4 linked regions of the Arabidopsis thaliana genome follow. The protein of the gene in region 4 interacts with the protein of the main gene of each other region in a pairwise test. Each region holds a gene or a part of one and is shown on either strand. Other genes may lie near its edges.

Region 1 (5,608 bases), on a different chromosome or scaffold from region 4:
AGTTTTTTTTATAAAAAAAAATCTTTGTTAGGATAATCTACTCGGGTAAATGTATATATTTTTCCAACTTTCTGATAAATTTCGATTTCTTTAGTTTCGCATGTTAAAGATACATCTTGAAGAGCAAATCTGAATAACTTGACGAGGAAGACAGAAGCCCTAAAAATTAGAGATGAACTAAAGCCACAAGCCCACAACTTATTGGTTATTTATAGTTGCGTCGTTGTGATGAGGAAAGAAAATTAGAGATGAACTAAGACTTTGCTGGTTTGGTTTTCTTAGTGTTTTTTAAAAAACTAATATTTTGGAATATTGGGCTTGGCTTAGCTTAGCCCATGTTTCCAAAAAATTTATAACCCGAGTCTTCAAATACGCTCTATCTCGGCAACTGCACTTTGGGATTCTTTCGAGATTGTTGGCGAAATGACACGAATGTTAAATTTTCAATTCTAACACGAAATGGGACTAACATAACGTATCGACACTCTTGTCCTTGTAAGCTTCGTTAGATCAATAGAGTAAGTGTACTTTAGTTGGGCTTATTAGGACTAACATTAAATTGTAAAGTATAAAGGGTTGCCTGAATTTTCAACCCTATAGTAGTTGGAATCTCAATTTTCCACCATAAACTTTTAGCCACTTGAAAAATTACTATAAACAATTTTAATCTCGATAAAACTACATGTACTTTCGGATTTGTTCTTAAAACTACACCTCCAATTGAACCGACCAGTTAACCGATAATTATACATCCGGTTTGACTTACCCGAAATTTAACCGAACTTAATTCGATTTCGACTCTATTTTAACCCAATTTAGACCCAAAAAATATATTCTCTAGAAGAAAAATACTTTATTTATTTTTATTTATTTTTGATAAAAACTTAAAAATTAATTAATTAATTTTACCAAAATAATAAAATAACAAATATACCACACAAAATTATATAATAAAATTTTAGTATATATTTTGGTAATAAAAAAATATACCGCAAAATAATATAACAAAATAGACAATAAATTCTTTTTATAAATAAAATGGTGTTATATATATAAATGTATTTGGTATATACTCTAAATTTAATAATTCAAAGGACATTTTCTTTTTAAAAACACCATAACCATATATATATATATAACTCATCTTGAATATATAAAAAGAAAACTGAATCTATAAAGAAAAATGAATTTATAAATACCATAATATATACTTTGATTGTGGTGTTTACGGATATATATAAAAATTAATTTGGCATATATTTTGAATTTCATTACATATATAAAGTTCAAAGGTCATATATTATGATTTCAAGAAAAATGAATATTTTGTTTAAAAAAAAGACATAGCTTTAAATTTATAAAAAAATATAAATGATTGCCAAAAAGAAAATGTATATGCTTGTATATTATCAAAATTCTATAACAAAATGTAGCTCAAAATATAATTTGAGGTATATTTTGTCATATTAATTTTCGCTAAAATTAAGTTATAACTTAATATTTTTAATTTTTTATCACAAATAAAAATTAATAAAAACACTTTTACTTCTTAATAAGGCAATTTATTTACATTTAGGTCAAAATTAGGCTAAAATAGAGTTAAATCGAATTAATTTCGGTTAAATTATGGATAAGTCAAACCAGATGTATAATTAACGGTTAACTGGTCGGTTCAATTGGAGGCGTAGTTTTAAGAACAAATCCGAAAGTACATATAGTTTTATCGAGATTAAAATTGTTTATGGTGGTTTTTCAAGTGGCTAAAAGTTTAAGTAGGAAAGTTGAGATTCCAAATAGTACATGGCTGAAAATTTAGGCAACCCAAATATAAAATCTACCACTAACTTTAGTAACATCACACAACAACTTAAAAAATAAGATTAAAAACTATAAAATCACTCGACAATAATTTTTTTACATTCAAGCTAACAAATTTATCTATAACAATATAATATTTATACAGTCACACTTGACAAAATCAACCGACCAAATTTACCGTCATTTCGCAAGGACGACGTACAAAAGATTCGGAACCTTTTCTAAAGTTTTTTTATATCTCCAAGAAGCAACCAGCTTGAACGTGGCCTTCATATTTATCATGTGTTTCCAGTTTTAACCATCGAGAATTGCTCATATCCCAATTATACCCTACACTTGGTTCGCCGTACCGAGCCGAACCGATCACAACCAGGTTTCCAGACCTCCTTATCGCCACGTAAGATACATTGCACACGTCAGCAGGTAGATTCCCAACTTTATACCACGTGTCATCTTTCATCATCATCAGATCACGGCGACAACAAGCATATAAATCTCCGTTTTCACCGGCAGCACAAATCGGAGGCCACATAGTCATCTCCGAAGAGAGAAACTCTTCTCCTTGTGGACTCCACCGCCATGTGGTGACGTCGAACGATTCAGCAGTTTTACTAAATTGCCCTTGTTCCTCCGTGGAGTAACCACCGATGACATGGAATTTGCCAGCGTGGAAAATAGCTGTGCATTCGTCTCGCTCACGGCCCATATCCGGCAAGAAAGCCCATCTGTCTTCTGCCACGTCATACACCAGAGCTGACATCATCGCGTTCTTGTCTTCGTCGTGTCCTCCAGCCACAAAGACGTTCCGTTGAGAATCCGAAGCGCAGGCAAAGAAGGAACGCGGTCCACCTGGCATGCTCTTCCCGACGCGCCACGTGGAGGTCAAGAAGCTGAAAACGAAGACCGAATCAGAGGTACGCCATGTAACCGGGTCAAGCCCGCACAATACAACAAGATCCGACCCGACAGAGACTAATCTGCAGAACAGAGGCAACCCGTTGGAATGACCTGGAACCGGAGGCAGCTCGCTCCTTAGACCGGTACCAAGTTCAAGAACCGAGATTCGGTACACGGGGGTGGGGATGGTTTTATTACCCGATACGAGTTCTTTAACCGGGTCGACCCGAGCTTGAGACAAGACAACAAGCTCTTGACTATGTCCTGAAGCTTTCCGGTGTCGGAAAAAATCAGAGAGGCTGATTTCTCGCTGCCAGAGTTTGCAAACAGAGGCCATAAGAGGGAATTGCTTGTAGGAGGAGCGTAGGAGACACTCGTAGGCTACAGTTTCGGGAAGATCAGGAATAAGCTCCATCTTTTTAGAAAGTTTCAAGATTTGAAGTTCTTGATTTAGAAAAAATGAAAATGTTCAGGTTGAGAGAGATATGAATGAGGTGATGAGAGAAGACAGAAGAGTGTGGCTACTTTATAGAGGGATAAGTCTTCTAGAACAATAAAAAAGGAAAGTGTATTTTCAATTGGTAAAAATATCATTTAAATCAGCACTAGTTTACCATTTTTGTTGGTTTTAGAACATGAACTTTTGACCTAGTGATTTAAATCCTTAATTTTATATTGATTTTCAATTTAATTACGAACTCTCGTTGACTAATCCAGTTAATACACATTATTAGAAATTTTCCAAACCACAAACCCTAGATCTCTAAAATCGATTTCAAATTTTTCTACCTTTTTATACGGATTTTCTCCTCTACTTCGGATTTTCTATTTTTTTCGAATTCGAAGTAATCTCTCGTGTCTAAATCAATTGATGGCGCTGAAAAAAAAAATCAGTATCTCAATTGGTTTAGTCAAGAAAAATTAATGATTTAATTGGAAATCAACATAATCCTAAGTATAAAGTTTATAATTTAAATCAAAAAAAATAGTAAACTGGTGATATTTTTTTCCATTTTAAATTATAGAGATATGTATTTATTTTATTAACCTATTTACGATTCCAACAAGAGATAATTGGTTAAGAAGACTAGAAAAGTAAAAGTTTTGACTTTTCGTCAATAGGAAAAGTTCAATGTTGTTTGAATTCTTTTGCTTTTAAGACATTTTGTTTTTCGATGTATACATGAATTTCTTCTATAAACGTAACTTTGATAGGAGAAGTTAACAGAAGTCCGGAGAGAGTACCGTTCGGTTAATGGGATTAATGTGCGGGTTTTGGTTTATATGATGGAGACGGTGTACCAATTGGGACATGTTGAATGATGTGATGGTCATTGGATTTCTAGATCTAAGACCAGTTTTGCAAGCAATCAAGTTAGCTAAATCAAAGTCTTGTTAATTAATCTATTTTCGACTATCTATTTTGTTTATTAAAAAATCGTTCTTTATGTCTTTCTTTTTTTGGTTATATCGTAGACTAAATGTGTACTGACACGAAAATGACATCTATCGGATTATATGTTGGATAAATAATTAATTCATATTTCACCGTTTCACGTTAAGCATCGTAATTTTTACGGGTTACTTTACGAATGAAGGAAAAGTTATCTATGTGACTAATAGCTAGTAATATTAAGATGCTCGACGTGGAATTAACGTTACCTTTTTGCCGTAATTATTGAAGTGTACATGTATAAATAATTAGTGAATCTTCAAGTAACGTATTAATGAAGCTGTTCTACCACGTTGTAGAGACAGATTATATAAAAATAGTAGTATTAAATTAGCCCGAGTAGTGGATATAAAAAAAAAATGAATAATGCATGTAGGGATCTAAATCTATGCTATATTCCAACATTTTTTAAAATATATATAAACAAAGTCAAGAGTATTGTATAGTTAAAATATTCGAAATATACAAAGGTCCATGTGATCCCATGTGCGGTAATGTTCACGAAGACATGTTAACCAATAGCCAACCAAACGATTATTATATTCTAATACTATAGCCTATCGTATTATACACGGATAAAATTAATGGTTGAGTTATTCAAATAGTTGGGACTTGGGAGTTAAAGACTGGTTAGTTTAAACCAAAGCGTCTAGAGACGATGTTTCGATGGTTTGAAACGTTGCTATGTAGATTGCAGTTAACGACGAATCGCACCATCTGTTTTTTTTTTTTTTATCACATAAGTACCTTTTTTGGTCACTTTTTATAAGGTCTTAAAAATGGTTGCATAATTTGTTAAAGATATGAAAGTACAAACTTGGTTCTAAATTCACCAGATCATTAAGAAAATGATAATTGGCACAAGTGGCCCAACGCACAAGACGATAAGACGAAACCATAGGAGGTAAAGCGACTTTAAAAGAGGCAACACCTTGTCACTTTCACTGACTTCGTTGTTTTGTTACATTCATGTATGTCAAATTAGACATTTAAAACAATATAGTAGATACTAAGCTAACCATTTGTTCGAAGTACGCATAATTAATTCAAAGGTGCATATTGTATATATTTATTTCCGTTTTATAATATCAATGTGTTTATTCTATCAGCATGAGATTGTTCTAAGACAACTGTCATATTTTAAACATCTTTCTAATCAATTTGATATTTTAGTTTCATTTGATTCCATGTGAACGGCTTATCCAAAAAGTGACCAGTGTACTATACAATACTCATAATTAACAATTCAATATTGTTTAAGCGCAAAAGAAAACGTGAAAAAGGAATTAGAAAAGAAACAGCCTAAAAATTGAAAACTTCAATATTTGTGGTTCCTTCCATCCTCTTATTTTAATTTTTTTTTTGTGTATCCTTTCTCTATTGTTTGTCGGCCATTGAATAATTGTATTAGAGAGATTGGCTAAACCATCCAGAAGAACA
Region 2 (5,411 bases), on a different chromosome or scaffold from region 4:
GAGCCGGCACCGGAGCTTTTGCCCCTGTTTCCTCTTCGTTCTCCTAACGGCACTAATCACCGGATTCATGAAGATAATCATCGAGACTCTTAGTCTTAATTTAGAACGTATAATTTGAGTTTTAGGCTATTTAATCGTAAGTTGGGGACACGTGATATTTGCTGTTGCTTTTTACTATTTTTGTTAGGGCTAGTTAATATCCGTTTTCCATTTAACCTAGACTTTTTTCATCCTTCATTAAACTTTTTCTTCAAGGGTCAACTATTTCGGCGCGTGTACTCCACTTCCTTTTGGAATACAAAAAAATCTTATTCTATACGCGGCAATTACTTACATTAGTCAAGGAAGACATCATTTCACGAGCATATAAATCAATGTCTTTTTAGATCTTTTATCTAACCATTAATACGTGGGATCCAAAACACAAGCTATCTAGTTTCTAAATTTCTTGAAAAAAGATAATATAACCACAATGCTCAATTTTCTTTTGGAAAGTAGTACTTTTTGACAAGTCTACAACGATCAAGCTAGCGTAATCGTCTTCGTATCTTAAATTTTTCCTTACAATAAAGTTGATGATGTGTGTATGGAGATGAATGAAAAGATAGGCTAAATAGGCCGACTTATAATAGATACAAAAATGTGTTGACTTTTTGGTTAAGAAAGAAACTAAAGAAGCTAAATTCTCTGTACAGTTTAACACTGCTCCAATTCAATTGTTTGTGTGTGTCATAAAGCTGCCAGCCGTTGGATTTAATGACAAAGCTGTGACGCAGAACGAAGCGGCGCCTATTTCCTCTGCAGATTCAACGGCTACGATTTAATTCTCCTGCTGAAAATATAATGCACTTTTCTTTTGTATCGATATTAAATAGATGTTACTTGTAACAGAGGGTGTCTCTGCATCTCTCTTTAAAGTCTGTTGTCAGTCTATCTTCGAACTCTGCCCCTCAGGTGTAATCCATATTTCAAACCTCTGCTCTAATCCTAGCCATCCATTTGTCTCAAGTCCCATCCAAAAGCCCATTTAAAGATCAAAAGTTCATCATTCAAAATCTGGTCTATTTGGGCCTCGAGTAAAAAAATTAATAGGACTAGTCTATGAAACCCATTAAAGTTCTTGGATACCAAAATCAAGGCTCCTTTAATAAACTTTAAAAGTTTTGTGTCGACACATGTTTCGAAAGTTTGTTTGCTTGCAATTATATAATTAGATCAGTTTTGTATAGAGAACCTAAAAGTTCAAATCTTCCTTTTGAAGTTTTGTATAGAGAACATAAATATTTGGTAAAGTGACACTGAATAAATACAATATTTCTTTATTTTGTTGTTCATGAAAAGATTTGTAGATTGACACACGAGACTACCCATTGGTTTGTTGCGGTTTAGGTTCAAACTCCAAAGATGAATAGGTTTTCCATTAGACCTCCAAGAAGCAGCCAGCTTGAACATGACCACCGTGTGTTTCCAATTTTACCCATCGTGAGCTACTTAAATCACATATATACCCTACGGTGGCTTCACCGTATCCAGCCAACGCCTTCCCGTTGCCGATCACAATCAGCATCCCGGGCCTCACCGCTACGTAAGTAACATTGTACACATCAGCAGGGATCTGGCCCACCTTTTGCCACTTGTCATTTAGAAACATCATCACATCGCCACCCCAGCACGCGTACAAATCCCCACCGGCGACGCAGGTCGGAGGGCTAACGGTATCGCCGGTGTCGTCGAGGAAGTCCTCCGTAAGTGGACCCCACTCCCACGTAGACACATCGAACGATTCGGCTGTTTTACTAAACTGCCCCTGTTCCTCAGTGGCATATCCACCGATGACGTGGAATCTGCCAGCATGGAATACCGCTTTGCACTCGTCTCGTTCCCGCGCCATATCCGGCAAAAACGTCCACTTGTCTTCTGACACGTCATACACCATAGCTGACGTAAGCGCACATTTCTCTTCGTTGTGTCCACCCGCAACCAGCACCGTCCGATCCGAATCCGAAGCGCATCCGAAGAAGGACCTCCGTACACCTGGCATGGTTGCCCCCACGCGCCATTTGGAAGTGAGAAAACTGAAGACGAATACCGAATCATGGGCCTGCCACGTAATCGGGTCAAGCCCACCCAAGACAATAAGATCGGATCCAACGGAAACCAATCTGCAGAACAGAGGAAGTCCTTTGGTTTGACCAGGAATCGGAGGAAGCTCCGTCCAAAGACCCGACCCGGATTCGAGAACAGAGATCCGGTATTCAGGCGTAGCGATGATCTTTCCGGATCCAGCGGGGTCGACACGAGCCTGAGACAGAATAAGAAGCTCTTGGCTATGGCGTGAAGCTTTTCGCTGATGTAAAAACTGAGAGAGAGAGACTTCACGGTTCCAGGCTCTGCAAACGGAGGCGATGACAGGGAACTGTTGGTAGGAGGAGCGAAGGAGACACTCGCGAGCAACGTCGTCGGGAAGATTGGGGATAAGTTCCATCGAGAAAGTATCAAAGATTGAAGCTTTTTGTTTATCTGTTTGTTGAGAAGTGAAGAAGATTGAAGCTTTACAAGTAGAGTGAGGGATATTGTAATAGTTTTGGTAAAAGATGAAATTTTGGATCGAGACAAGGTTGAAGAAGATGATGATGATGATGGGAAAGAGGAGAGTGTGCCGCTTTATAGATATTTGAAGATAAGTGTTTCTAGAAAACTTGTTGATTCATTCATCGTTTCTTTCTTTTTTTAATATAATTTTTGTGTTGTATATTTTATAGTTTAAATCAAATAAAATGAAGATAACGGAATTTGAGTTAGTATGGGCAAAAACGGTTAATGGTTGTGTCTTGTATTTAAAGATGGAGACTTTGGACCAATTGGGACAAGTTGATGGATGTCATATCCAAGTTCATTTTCTCCTGATATTTTTCTGGTCAGGTTTAGTAATTTAGCATTCGAATTCCAGTCAACAACAGATTATATATCTAAACATAGACGGTAAAATATACTACCGAATATCGAATTAGGCCTTTCGACTAATACTGATTTTAGATTTTGGATGTTGTTTTGACATGTTACTCTGTTTTCTATCTAATGCTATAGAGTATACACTTACTAGTGCGCACAACAAAAAACAGAATAAAATTAATCTATCATTTGTTCGTTTAAGAATAATGAAAAAACTTAAAACCTACACATAAAAGACTGTACTTTTTGAATGGACCTTCTGAATCTATAATTTAGATCACACCCTTTCTTTTTCTCATATACTAAAATATTAATCGGACCACACACACCCTTTTGCTTTGTAAAAATTTAAATCGATCTCCTAATTCCAAACAACAGAACTTGTTTTTTTTTTTTTTGGTTTTATTATAAACAACAGAACTTGTTCTTTTTTTTTGGTTTTATTATAAACAACAGAACTTTGTGGCAACTTGTATACTAAAGTGATGAATATATGTATACTACACATACACGACGGCAAAATATTATTATATGAAGAACGCAAAACTACAAAGATGTTTCCTTCGCATTATGTGGTACATAATCCAAGCACATAATAGCGTTTAAAGATTAATTTATGTTTTATTAAAATGAAATCCAAATCCAGCTCAAAGACTAATGCCTTGGAGTCTTTCCTCTAAAATCCTTCTAGATAATTTCTCTAATTTCACTTGTAGAATTTCCCTTTTTTTTGACAAAAATTTATTTGATTCTTATTTGGCTTGTTGTTGTCTGTATGTGTGTGTCTATCTTTGGTCGGCCATATTTAAATCTGTATTGATACTCGACATCTTTAAACTATTACCGATGACCAAAGTTATATGTTTTTATAAATATAGCTACAATATATACAGATATTTGTCGTAATTATATATGATCTTTATTAAACTTCTTAACGCGTGTGACATAAAGAAACGAAATGTTGTCTCCGTACTCAAAAGCGTATACTCGTTAATCAAAGCATTTTTGCTTACTAATTTAATCTGTAACGTATGGACATTTATGTACAATACTCTATTTTTCGTAGCTGTACAAAATTGAATACGGAATAATACAATATTTAGGGAATTAGTAGCATGTTCCATGCAGGTTGGACTAGTTCTAGTGTCCGCCATATGTATAAAGCTGTAAACATCTTTAACGCATATATTTGGTTTATTAAAACAATAGTTTTGTGATTACTATGACCCATTCATGTATTTGCATATAAATGTAGTAACTTGGAGTTTTGGTTAATTAGACAAAAGATACTCCGATCTAATATTTTTTAAAATAAGCTAATTGAAACTTCAACGTGGGATAAAACGGGCTGACAAAAAAAGGTTCAACATGAAGAAAATAACTCTAACTGATAAAACGGCACGGCGTCTGAATGACTATAACTCTATAAGGTGACAAAACGACACGGTGTCAACATCCTTAAAGGGGGGAAGAAGAGTCGTCGTGATTCGTCGGGTGGCTGGCTCTTTGATAAATCTAAACAATAAACGACGGAAGCAATCCGATTCTTCGTAGATAGGAATAGCCCGAATAGACTGGTACTGGGAGTGTTGGACCCACTTCATCAATGTTCGTGTCGATATTTTCAATTCTCATACTCTTCTTTGGTCGCGTTCAATTATTCAAATCTCTTAACAAGTATTTTCTTCACAAGAAAATTCGCCAAGCAAATTGGAAAAAAACGAAGAACACACGAAATAACTAGCCAAAAGAGTTTAATTACTTCTTTATATATGTGATCGTTATTTATTTGCATTTTACTCGTTTTTTTTTCCAATTATGTCGACACTTGATTAAATTAGAAGCACAAAGCCTCGAAGCAAACCGGCAAAGATAATAACATCTGCCAGAGCTAAGTAATAAGGTTTACAGTTAGATGATCGAGAGAATATGAGCTTTGGCACCGCAGAAAACGCTGGCCAATTACATAGGAAAATGTTCATTTGAAAAGATATATAGCTAAACAGTATATATGTCTCAAAAGATAGTTTGACTCGCCGCATCTTTCTATTAGGCACTCGACGTCTTCATCATATATGCATTATTATTTTGCATATTAATTAATGGTAGGGATCAAATTGTTACGAAGACATGCAATAGATCATTTGGATATTCATGCGGTCGACATCAAATAAAACAGCTCTCGTACATACAGACAGGATAAGCTCATGAAGTTTCCTTTGGTATTTATTTTTACGTCCTTTTCCATATCCATTATGATAGTTATCCGGTAGCTGATGTGGACTTCGTATCTTCTACTGCCAGTAATTGTATTTCTTTTTTTATAAGTGCGCGGAATATCTATTTTCATTCATCCTCATCATCATATACTAACATCAACTTATCTACCTTTTTTTTTTTAAGGGTTTGCTCGAGGTTTCATGTCATTTTTTGGAAATAAATTTTGACAACATGATTTA
Region 3 (5,340 bases), 7.5 Mb from region 4:
AGAGAGAGGTGGGGCTCCAATTCTCTGTATAGAAGATGCTACCAAATCTTGTCTAGAATTCTCAAAAGGACAGTCTGAGTGGACACCGATTATCCTTTTGGTTCCACTGGTTCTTGGGCTTGACAGTGTGAATCCCAGGTTTGCAACTGTGAAATTGATTCCATTATCTCTGTTATGCTCGACTCGTATTTGTACTTGACCTTTCTGACGTATTGCTATAATCTGATGACAGGTACATTCCATCTCTCGTAGCCACATTCACTTTTCCTCAGAGCGTGGGGATTTTGGGTGGCAAACCAGGTGCCTCAACTTACATAGTTGGTGTTCAAGAAGACAAAGGTTTCTACCTTGATCCGCATGAAGTTCAACAGGTTTCATTTCGTGCCTCTGAATTTTTTTAGAGTCCATAAATCTTGGTCTGGCATTGTGGTGGTCCATAGTACCTAAGTCGGATAAGATGCCATTTCACATGATAAGTCGGATACTGATTGAGACTTATCGTTTGATGATTGATTTAGGTGGTCACAGTCAACAAGGAAACACCAGATGTTGACACATCCTCCTATCATTGCAAGTGAGTCTCCTCAAATTATCATGTCACAGACGACTTTTGCCTGGTTCAGTTTTATCTTGTTTCTTAATTTTATCTTGAATCTGCATCAGTGTCCTTCGTTATGTTCCTTTGGAATCACTCGACCCATCTCTAGCTCTAGGATTCTATTGCCGCGACAAAGGTATTGTATTACTACATTCTCTGAAACCAAAAGTTTTTAAATTCTGTAACTTGAAAAAACCTTTCCCTAATCTTCAACAGATGATTTCGACGATTTCTGTCTCCGAGCATTGAAACTAGCTGAGGAATCAAACGGTGCTCCATTGTTCACAGTGACTCAAACCCACACAGCGATAAACCAAAGCAACTACGGGTTTGCGGATGACGACAGCGAGGATGAACGTGAAGATGACTGGCAAATGCTCTGATCATGATCATCGTCAAACATTTTAACAATCTCAAGCTACAATTCTTTTTTTCCTTTTGTTAACCAGTTCTTTGTTTTTTATATGTGTTGGTGTATATTACATCAGATCAGAACACAATGTTGTACTATAAAATCTTTTGGGATTTTCAAACATAGATTGAAGCATGCGAAAATGGAAGAGTAGAGAAATCACAAGGTATATGAACATGATGACTCCATTTTCCCATTTTCTTCTCAGTCGTCATCTTCATCATCACTCCTCCTTCACCTTCACCTTCACTCTCTCTTTTACCGCCAATCATTACCACCGATTCACCTCCTAAGCTTCCGGCGAAAACTGAGCTTCCTGTCATCGGAAGCTGTATAGATTGAAGATCCAGTTTCAAATTTCTCGAATCATCGTTAGTTTCCCATCGACGTTCACTCTGTAAATCAGTGTCTGTGAAACACCATAACGTAGAGGAGCTTCTAAAGTCTCCGGCGGTGCGACCTCTCGGGCTAGTATCTGGAAATCGCCAGACGTTGTCGATTCTCGACCATGAATCTGTCGCTGGATCGTAAATTTCTCCGTCAGATCGGAATCTTCCTTGAGATTCCGTTCCGTAACCGCTCAGCACGCAAAACCTTAGACCCATACCAACGGCGAATCCTTGACATTCGTCTCTTCCTTCCGTCATCGGAGTAACCGACGACCACTCGTCTTTCTCGACGTCGTACACCTCCGCCGAGCGTAAAGCGTTTTTCTGATCGTCGTGACCTCCGGCGACGTATACCTTCGTTGGACTTACGGAGGCGCAGGCGAAGAATGATCGTGATTCCTTCATTGGCGCACCTCGTCTCCACTTCCTTCCGGCGAATTCCAGAACGTAAACGTCTCTCGTCGGCTGTAACGTCTCCGGATCCCAACCGCCGATGAGCAGAATCTTCCCGGCGTCCTGAAGCACGACGCACTCGCAGAAAAGCGGGATCTGCTCCTCCTCTGGAAACGCAACGCGATGCCACGTGGACATCGCAGCGTTGTAAACGCTCAATCCAAAACGCGGCGTGCAGAAAACGCGCGGGTGTGACTCATCCTCTGATTTTTTCTCGTCAACCATTAATGTCTCGTCAACCGATTTAGACGCTGGAATTGGCGGCGTTAGCGGTTGAACGAGGCAGAGGAGAAGCTCTGTTTTGCCGCATCTCCGCCGTTCTTGGATAAAAGAAGAGTCGGAGAGTAAGCTACGCCAAGAACGGCAAACGGATCTCATGGCGGATTGGAATTGGAACGGAACTCTGACCAAACACTCCAAAGCTAGTTCGGAAGGTAAACCGGGAATCAATTCGTGACATTGCTGAAAATCTCCACCTTTCTTTTTCGACACTTCCATAGTCATCGAACTTAAACAAGTTTGAGAAAAACAGAACAGAGAGTGTGTTTGATTGAGCAAAGTGTCTATGTGTAGAAGAAAACACACAAAAACTGACGAAAGTTGCGATTTAAATTTGAGTGAGTGTGAAGCTACAAAGAGGTGGCAGAGCCTTTAAATAGGGAAAGAGGAGGATGAGTTTGCTTGCGGTTGAAATAACGCGACGGTTCGTTTAAATTTTTAAAAACCCCTATAAACTTGATTTAGCAGCGTATGAAAAAAATCAAGATTCGTGTATGTTGCAAAACGCAAACGTATCTAAAAATTTATTTCTTAATCATTCCCTTTCAATCTCACCAAACAGGCAAGAGTCAACACATGGGTTACTTTGATGCGATTTCCTTAATAAGGAATAAAACTTTGAAATGGAATCTATAACAACTGGTTTAGTTCATGAAGACGGTGCTTTTGTTAAAACAATCTTTTCATAAAACAGGAAAAGTAGAAAGCTTCTAGAAGACTTTCATAAGGACAAAATGAACAACTAACAGTGGAGTAAATCATATACTCCATAAGAATTTGATTATTTGAATATCAACCAAAAATTCAAGAAATGTCCATGTTGTTTCATGATGTAAATTGTAAAGGCAAATAGTTGAAGTTAGGTCAGTGGTTACTTGGTTAAGTGAAGTTAGGTAACAATATTGTATATTATAATCACAAATTAAATTGACAGTATACTGCGCCGCACTTTTTGTTTAACGCTTTTACCACTGTATAGCGTCTATAGTTTAAAAACAGTTTGAACTAATAACTTTTTAAACTAGTTTATCAACTAGATATCTAGATTACTATTCCATTTCAGTGTCAATTGAAACCGAATCTATGACATCTTGATAATAAAGTTCACGAAGACCAGTAGTGAGCTTTTTAGTCTTTACCATCACTTTTTATTTGAAATAACAAAAAGCTTCTAGAAGCTATGCAAAGACAAATAATATGGAGTAATAAGGAATGAGTCGTATTCACTGACGCAACCGTCAACCGATAAGTAAACATCTCGTGAACTGTTTCTCCCTAATTTACTACAATTTAAAACAGGTATATTAATATGTATGATGGACATTTTCATTTCATATTGGCATGTGCACGCACTATCAAACAAATTCTTTCACGAATAGTCCATATGTATAGATTCTTTATGTTTTGCCAAAAAATTTGTGCTTAGTTGTTATAAGTTGTAAGATATCATCATGTGTTTTTAATTTTGTAATACGTATTATTTTACGTAGAAAATTGCGAGGGCAGTTTCGTTTGAATATAAGATTCATCAATAATATTATGATTGATTATAACTTTATAAAGGTTTCTACTTTATTATAGTCTTCTAGAAGAAGTTCTCATGGATATACATTGGCATTAACTATCCTTGGGTCTTACTCTTCGATTATTCAACATATTATATTAAAACGTTGACACGTCTATTCTGCGATGCACCGACGTAAAGGTATGTCTCGCGGACTTCCAGCCTCACACAAGTCATCTCGTCTCCACCGGATAATTAATGATGCTTTCTGTTGTTTTACTTTGGGGTTATTTATGAATCTACGCTTACTATTTGTGCCGTTATTTAAAACATGTTTCAAGGGAAGAAGATTAATTTGGGTGTTAGCGCACGATATGAACATAGATAGACAAGAAGAAAAATGAAAGTCGGGGATAAGAAGGAAAATAATAAGAATGGGGTCGAACATTAATAGGGGGCTGGTCCATTACACTCTATCCCATTTTCCCCACATTGTCTGTTCTTGTTTCGTCAATTGTCCTTTCTTTGATTACTCTCTACTTATGTATTTTCTCTCTATCAGCTTTTCTAGCTTTATTCATCACCAATTATTGTCGTGTGTCAAGAAAAAGTAACGTAGAGTTTCTTTGAATAGTAGTAGTAGTTTCGCATATAAACGAGTACTTTCGATTCATTTTCATTCCTAAATGGTAATATTGGCTATCAATAGGTCGCGTTAGTCAAAGAAACAATGGATACATCTTTTGAAACTTTTTGCTCGACAAGAAAAAAGCAACTATAATGTCATTTAGTTTTGTTTTATTTCCCTTAAATGGATTATGGATCAATGGATGATGTAGTACTGTTAACAGATTCTATTGATGAATTTCACGACTATCGCAAGACGAATTTGAAATCATCACGAAACTGAAGTTGTTGTTTTTTTTTTCTTTTCAACGAAGGTTGATTGATTTACGACTACGATGAAGTGGATTGGTTTCTAATTAATTATTCCTGAAAATGAAACCAAAGATATAATACAACTATTACTAAATGAAAAGAAGAAAAATAGAGATAAGGGTTCTAGAAGATAGGCATTGATATTTGTTTTCCCTTTTGGGGAGTTTGTCATCTTTATGGGGGAGGAAACAAGTGGGCCGAAACTGGCAAGCACTTATCCTCTTGGCTTTAGTCTTCTTCTTTACGGTTACTAAAGTTTTTCTCTTTCTTTTCTTCTAGAAGACCATATTGACATTTTTTTTTGTATCTCTAGAGTAATAGCACTAAATATAAACCTAACTTTTGATGTTAGTCTAAGACAATAAGACATACGAAGCTTTAAAACTCTATTGTTTTGAATGATCACAATGTCACATATCAATACTTATATTCGATCTAGAAGATTTGGAAGAGTATAGATTTAATTTGTTGGTTTATGAAAAGAAAAACAGTATTGGTGGAAGAAAGTATTCAGAAGGGCAAAATCGATGACATGTAGATGTAGATGGACAAGGCCTGAGTATGTATATGTCATTTAAAACCAAGCCCAATTTAAGTTAAATAAATAGGCCCACTTTGGAAAAATGACTGCTGACTAAAAAATTAGGGTTACGAAATAAACCCTAAACCCAGTTTCGACTTTGTTTGTTTTGTCCTCCTTCTACGCCGCACACTATCTCTTCCTCTCTCTCAGACGAGATTTCCTCTTCATCTCAAGTAAGCTTCT
Region 4 (6,966 bases):
AAAGTTCAAGATTTCTTTTTTTTTTTTCTTTCTTTTAGAAAAACTTTTAAGTGAAAAGAAATCGATGGCAAAAGAAAAAAAAGGTCAAAGAAACGAATATCGTCGTTGATTTTAATTTTACCATACGAATTTTAATTTAATTATCACATATATTAAATAATTTTAAGAACCGATTTTAATCTGCAACTGTACGAAAGAAAGAGTTTTGATGCACGCTCAAGCGTGTAACGCACTTCCCAATCTCAAGCATGCTTGCTCTCTCTAAAGCCTGTCTCATTTTTAAAATCCAAAATATTGTTTTGTCAACTAATTTAAAACAGTTTTTTTTTTAGAAAGCTATTTAAAACTGTTTCACAAGATACACTTTTCGAATATTCATAGTAGTTTTTGAAACCATACTCCAATCAATCTGATTACTTGTAATTAAAGTATGGTCTTGTAATATTAATTTCCAAAGGTGTGATTTTATAAAATTCAAATTTAAGGCGATAACAAAACTTTTGAGCTTACTTTATCCATTGAGAGGCAAGTTTTCCTACGCAACAACAGTTGACACGGAAGTATTAGAACACAAAAATAGTAAATTCAAAGGATTCTTCTATCAAAATATAAGCTTCCAACTCAAAACTAATTGGTAATGAGTGAAGAACGTTATATCTTATAAATATTACTTAAGATTATACTAACTTCTAATATGTGACAATATCTCTAATACGATCCTTCTAAATGATGGCTTTTCTATCCATTAGTCTTGATATGTTTGGGCATAGATTAGTGGACCGATGTGGATTGGGTTGACTATATGCAGATCGGACACTGATACCATATTAGATTATGGGCTTCCAACTCAAAATCAATCGGGAATGAGTAAAGAGACTTATATCTTATATATAACTGCTTAAGTTCCTACTAAACTTTCAACGTGGGACGATATCTCTAATATCGATCAATTCAATAATTTCAACCATGCCGAAAGCTAAGACGATTATGAGAAAAAAATTGTTTTCTTATACGCCGAGCTGGAAAAATGATCCACGACAGTCTATCATTTCTATGCCAAATTATAGTGAAAAATAAAGTCAAGATGTAATTAAGAGACATAGTGTTTATATTTTTGGAAAAAGATCAAAAGGATGCTAAAATTTGAATACCAGATACCGTTACGATTTGGATATCAGTGGAGTCCGAGTGCAATTGTCAGTTTACTATCTTTTGTACCATATATTTTAGAGCGTTTTTCTTAACGTTATCATATATTTCGATAGCGTTTTTCTAAGAATAATGATATAGTCGATTTTAAGAGTATGTACAAAAAACATAGGCTACTTTATGGTTTCTACAATTGATTTGCTAAGTCAATTTTATCATTTGCTTGTACATCAGTGCATGAAAGGAGAAAAGGGAAAAACAGTAAACAGATATGTATTATCTACATGAATGGACATATCTTAGACCTCGTGAAGTACCTTAAAAACTTATAGGAGAAAGAGGGTTACTACTTACTACCTCATCTAGACCTCGATTACGCGATCAAAGCAATACTGGATATCAGATAGATGTGGTCTTATCTATCAAAATTGTTTAGTCCGTTTTCGAGTTTGGGACAAATCTCCTTAGAAACCAGCTAGAATGGCTTAATCTATATATAAGATAATAATAAGTTTAACACCAAGACTTGCCGAAGTTAAGTTACATGTAATGCTACGAGATTCTCTGATACATATGTTATAAAGTGAAGTTAAAACACTTTTCTCAAGAAACACACTTACATAAAAATTAGTCACGAAGGTAAACAAGTGCTAAAAAAAATGAAGGGTCTTCTCCAACAAGAAAGACCGTTTTAACACTACTACTTGGGGTTCGTAAATTAATACAAAATCCTGGAATAAAACCATTTATCATCTTATATCCAACCAAACAAATTAATATAAACACTGTTAAAAAATAAGAAATGAAATTTAAATTAATGATAGAAATAATCGAATTAGGTGTTTTGATTTTTTTTTCTGTGACTACAATATATTTAAAACCCAAAATTTTACAAAAATCGTTTTAGTAAATCGGTTTAAATCTGAAACAAATGCTAAGGAAAGTATTTAACAGTGATTGACATTATGGAAATAATTTAATTTTTTTTGTCCGTTTAACAGTTGGACAATACTAGATTAACAAGAATCAAAATGTATCTCCACAATAATGATGCGATATAAATGATAGTATAAACCAAAATCTTTTTACTTAAACACTTTCCTATCTCTAACATAATTACTTTTTAATTTCCCCCATTCAAATAACACCTAAGTATTATTTTACCTGGTTTTTACTTTTTAACACAATTTAATTGCAAACAAGTAGTGTGTTTTATTAGTTTAAACTTTAAAGTCTTTAGACTAGAGAGAGGAAGTGGCAATAATACTAATCCGGTTCAGTCACTAAACCAGTGTACAATATATGGTTGGTCCTACAAATGATAATTTTTGATAAACCTAAAAAAAATGGTGTATTATATATCACCTGAGGATAGGGATACAAGTTTCTTTTAGGGTGGAAATCCTTATATATAAGTGTAGGGACTACTCACCAAAATCAAACAACTCACTTCAATTTGTAACGGTTTAAACTCGGTACAATATGCGGATTTTGATTCGGTATAATGACATTAAAACACCACTTTAACAAAAACCACTAGACAAATATTAGTCATTTCGGTTCAGTTTCGTTTAAAAATTACGAATTTTCGTATAATTGAGTTTATTATTCCGTTTGGTTTAAAAGAAACCATACAAAACAAAACAAACCAAACTAAACCAAATTGGTTATGTTTCAAAGATTCTTTCTAAGTCTCTCAATAAAATGTTATTTGTTTTGTAATGTAAAGAAAAAAAAAAGAATTGCAGAAAAAGAGTGGATAGTGTTAAGAAGATGATCACACACAATTTCCATAGCCATTTATAGATAGCTAGAAGAGCTAAAGAAGATTCCTTTTTTTAACTCTGCTGGAAAAATCTTTTTGTCTCTCTCTCTAAATCTAAATATTATATACTACTACTCTCTCTCTCTAGACCCCATTCACATATTTAATCTTTAACTCATTTCTCCATCGACGTTCTTGCACATCCCACTTTCTCTCTTTCTTCAACTTGCAAAAAAGATTAAAAATCCAATCTTTCGTTTCTGGGTCTGTTGAAAAACGATGACTGTTGAACAAAATTTAGAAGCTTTGGATCAGTTTCCTGTAGGAATGAGAGTTCTTGCTGTTGATGATGACCAAACTTGTCTCAAAATCCTTGAATCTCTCCTTCGTCACTGCCAATACCATGGTTCCTCTCTCTCTCTCTCTCTCTCTCTCTCTCTCTCTGTTTTCTTGGATCTGTTTTTCATCAAGTTTTTAGATTTTATGTCTCTTTGATCTGTGATTTGATCCACATATGGTGGAATCTTTTGATATCTATCTACCTAACTTCTTGTATACACAAATCTAAAAAAAACTTAGCTTTTTTTATTCCATTGTTAGATTTTGTAAGATTTGACATTTGTCAGAGAGAAAGTTTCATTGTTGAATTGAATTAAAAGTTTAAGACTTTATGGAATCTGTTGCAGTAACAACGACGAACCAAGCACAAAAGGCTTTAGAGTTATTGAGAGAGAACAAGAACAAGTTTGATCTGGTTATTAGTGATGTTGACATGCCTGACATGGATGGTTTCAAACTCCTTGAGCTTGTTGGTCTTGAAATGGACCTACCTGTCATAAGTAAGTCTTATTATTATTATTATTTTCTAATTAAACTTTTGTCATTTATTTCCTTAATGACTCACTACAGGAATAAAGTTTTGATCTCTAGACTTGGTTTTGTGATGATGATTTTCTTGTTGTTGCAGTGTTGTCTGCGCATAGTGATCCAAAGTATGTGATGAAGGGAGTTACTCATGGTGCTTGTGATTATCTACTGAAGCCGGTTCGTATTGAGGAGTTGAAGAACATATGGCAACATGTCGTGAGAAGTAGATTTGATAAGAACCGTGGGAGTAATAATAATGGTGATAAGAGAGATGGATCAGGTAATGAAGGTGTTGGGAATTCTGATCAGAACAATGGGAAAGGTAATAGAAAACGTAAAGATCAGTATAATGAAGATGAGGATGAGGATAGAGATGATAATGATGATTCGTGTGCTCAAAAGAAGCAACGTGTTGTTTGGACTGTTGAGCTGCATAAGAAATTTGTTGCAGCTGTTAACCAATTGGGATATGAGAGTAAGCTTATCAATATGTCACTTGATATGAGAGTAAGCTTATCAGTATGTCACTTAAGTTCTGTTTTGTGTGTGTTGTTTTGATTGCAGAGGCTATGCCTAAAAAGATTTTGGATCTGATGAATGTTGAGAAGCTCACTAGAGAAAATGTGGCCAGTCATCTTCAGGTTACAAAGAATCTTTCATGTTTTTAACTTGCGTAACCCGAAGATTTGTTTTTTAACACCTCGGAAGCTTATGACTTTGTTCGCTGTGGTTTGCAGAAATTCCGCCTTTACTTGAAGAGGATCAGTGGTGTGGCTAATCAGCAAGCTATTATGGCAAACTCTGAGTTACATTTTATGCAAATGAATGGACTTGATGGTTTCCATCACCGCCCAATCCCTGTTGGATCTGGTCAGTACCATGGTGGGGCTCCTGCAATGAGATCTTTCCCTCCAAACGGGATTCTTGGCAGACTCAATACTCCTTCGGGGATCGGTGTCCGCAGCCTTTCTTCTCCTCCTGCAGGAATGTTCTTGCAAAACCAGACCGATATCGGAAAGTTTCACCATGTCTCATCACTTCCTCTTAACCACAGTGATGGAGGAAACATACTTCAAGGGTTGCCAATGCCTTTAGAGTTCGACCAGCTTCAGACAAACAACAACAAAAGTAGAAACATGAACAGTAACAAGAGCATTGCTGGGACCTCCATGGCTTTTCCTAGCTTCTCTACGCAACAAAACTCGCTCATCAGTGCTCCTAATAACAATGTCGTGGTTCTAGAAGGTCACCCACAAGCAACTCCTCCAGGCTTCCCAGGACACCAGATCAATAAACGTTTGGAGCATTGGTCAAATGCTGTATCCTCTTCGACTCACCCTCCTCCCCCGGCACATAACAGTAATAGTATCAATCATCAGTTCGATGTCTCTCCATTACCGCATTCTAGACCCGACCCCTTGGAATGGAACAATGTGTCATCAAGCTACTCTATACCATTCTGTGACTCTGCCAATACATTGAGTTCTCCAGCCTTGGATACAACAAATCCCCGAGCTTTCTGTAGAAACACGGACTTCGATTCAAACACAAATGTGCAACCTGGAGTCTTTTATGGTCCATCCACGGATGCTATGGCTCTGTTGAGTAGTAGTAACCCGAAAGAAGGGTTCGTCGTAGGCCAACAGAAGTTACAGAGTGGTGGATTCATGGTTGCAGATGCTGGTTCCTTAGATGATATAGTCAACTCCACGATGAAGCAGGTGTGACATTAAAGCTTTTGCCAATATTAACCATTCTGATTTGGAGATTATTGTGATTTCTGACATGAAGATTTTGTGAATGTGACAGGAACAGAGCCAGGGAGATTTGTCTGGAGGAGATTTGGGATATGGAGGGTTTAGTTCACTCAGAACATGCATATGAGAGAACAAACATTTAGACATAAATCAAATATCATCATCTTGTTTGTCTCTTTTTCTCGCTAATCTTTTGTGTATTAAAATTGTAAACTATTTGTTTTCCCACTGGTTCTAGCAATTTAGGACTCCATTAAAGAAAACAACAAAGAAAAAAGGATTCATAAATAAACTTTCTTACTTTTTTATTTTAATGTATAGTTGTCCCTTTTGTGTATGAAACCAAAATTCACGGGCCTATGAAGAAACAACCCTATAGAAAAAGTCTATGAAGAAAAAGTGATGATGACGAATTTTAAAGCAACAAAGATTCCTTCGTACACTCGAAACCATTATGTTAAAGTCAACCCAAATTTGTATTATAACATTCTTGTGTTTGTATCTTACATTATTTAGTTCAGTTTTTGAGTTTGATTGAGAATAGTAGTTAGATTGAAACAGACGACGTCTAACCGGAAACATAACCGGACTTCATCGAACCTATTCACACACTGTTAAAAAGCTTGAGGTGCATAACCAAACAGCTTTGATTGAGAAACTATAATTTCATGATTTTCCAAAAATAGGAAAACATGAAGAATATCAAAGTTAGCCTAAAATGTTACCAATGTTTGCATAAGCAGAAGATAGGTCTTACAAAAGGAAGAATAAGTCTCATACATGTAACCAAAGATAATACAACAGTTCCTACTTCATGACCCCTTGGGTCTTGAATCTTGATTTACCAGTTGAGTCAATCAACGACCATGTTCTTTGGCTTCTCTTCTTCTTTGGCTTCTTCCATTTTTACATCAACACTTCCACTAGCTTCAGCAATGTTCTCCTCTCCCTCCACCACATTCAGATCGACGACGCCACCTCTTAACGGTTTTGTTTCTTCGGCCGTGTCCTTCATCTCAACATTGTTTAGGTCTGGCTTGGTGTCGTCTTCATGTGACTTGGATTGATCAGATGTAATCGAAAGGATTGTGTTAATGTTACCATTGATAGATTTGAGTGCACGGAAGCTCTCATTCACCTTGGTACTCGGTGGTTGGTTGTTTACATATGCTTGGACTGATTCCCGAGCGTTCTCATCAAGAAGTTTGCACATCTGAATAACCGGAGAGATATTAGTGTGATATACTAGTTCTAGACATTAGCCTACCACCAAAGGAAAAAAGCATAGCTTACCTGGTTATAATGTTGAGCTATTTCGACCCGCGCTTGGTTGTTGTCAACAGCAGCCCCCATAATTTCTTCTGAAGCTGCAGCGAGATTCAGAGAGCTCACATTAGAATCAACAACTCGTTAAATAAAGAAACTTGT

Evidence for each region.
Region 1: the proteins of RR12 (region 4) and AT1G15670 interact in a protein complementation assay, tested with the Arabidopsis thaliana proteins (one study listed by BioGRID).
Region 2: the proteins of RR12 (region 4) and AT1G80440 interact in a two-hybrid assay, tested with the Arabidopsis thaliana proteins (one study listed by BioGRID).
Region 3: the proteins of RR12 (region 4) and AT2G44130 interact in a protein complementation assay, tested with the Arabidopsis thaliana proteins (one study listed by BioGRID).

The regions. Positions count from the first base shown.
Region 1 is NC_003070.9:5,387,641-5,393,248, reverse strand, and holds AT1G15670 (Galactose oxidase/kelch repeat superfamily protein), read right to left. Parts: upstream 3,298-5,608; 5' UTR 3,131-3,297; coding exon 2,051-3,130; 3' UTR 1,577-2,050; downstream 1-1,576.
Region 2 is NC_003070.9:30,238,837-30,244,247, reverse strand, and holds AT1G80440 (Galactose oxidase/kelch repeat superfamily protein), read right to left. Parts: upstream 2,797-5,411; 5' UTR 2,486-2,796; coding exon 1,421-2,485; 3' UTR 1,072-1,420; downstream 1-1,071. Other genes in the region: AT1G80450 (VQ motif-containing protein), read left to right, coding at 1-93.
Region 3 is NC_003071.7:18,250,747-18,256,086, reverse strand, and holds AT2G44130 (Galactose oxidase/kelch repeat superfamily protein), read right to left. Parts: upstream 2,478-5,340; 5' UTR 2,357-2,477; coding exon 1,127-2,356; 3' UTR 1,033-1,126; downstream 1-1,032. Other genes in the region: AT2G44140 (Peptidase family C54 protein), read left to right, coding at 1-138, 233-371, 519-574, 664-734, 815-981.
Region 4 is NC_003071.7:10,723,189-10,730,154, reverse strand, and holds RR12 (response regulator 12), read left to right. Parts: upstream 1-2,882; 5' UTR 2,883-3,193; coding exon 3,194-3,320; intron 3,321-3,600; coding exon 3,601-3,753; intron 3,754-3,881; coding exon 3,882-4,256; intron 4,257-4,345; coding exon 4,346-4,422; intron 4,423-4,518; coding exon 4,519-5,502; intron 5,503-5,590; coding exon 5,591-5,665; 3' UTR 5,666-5,854; downstream 5,855-6,966. Other genes in the region: PKL (chromatin remodeling factor CHD3 (PICKLE)), read right to left, coding at 6,392-6,751, 6,832-6,905. UniProt on the Arabidopsis thaliana protein: Transcriptional activator that binds specifically to the DNA sequence 5'-[AG]GATT-3'. Functions as a response regulator involved in His-to-Asp phosphorelay signal transduction system.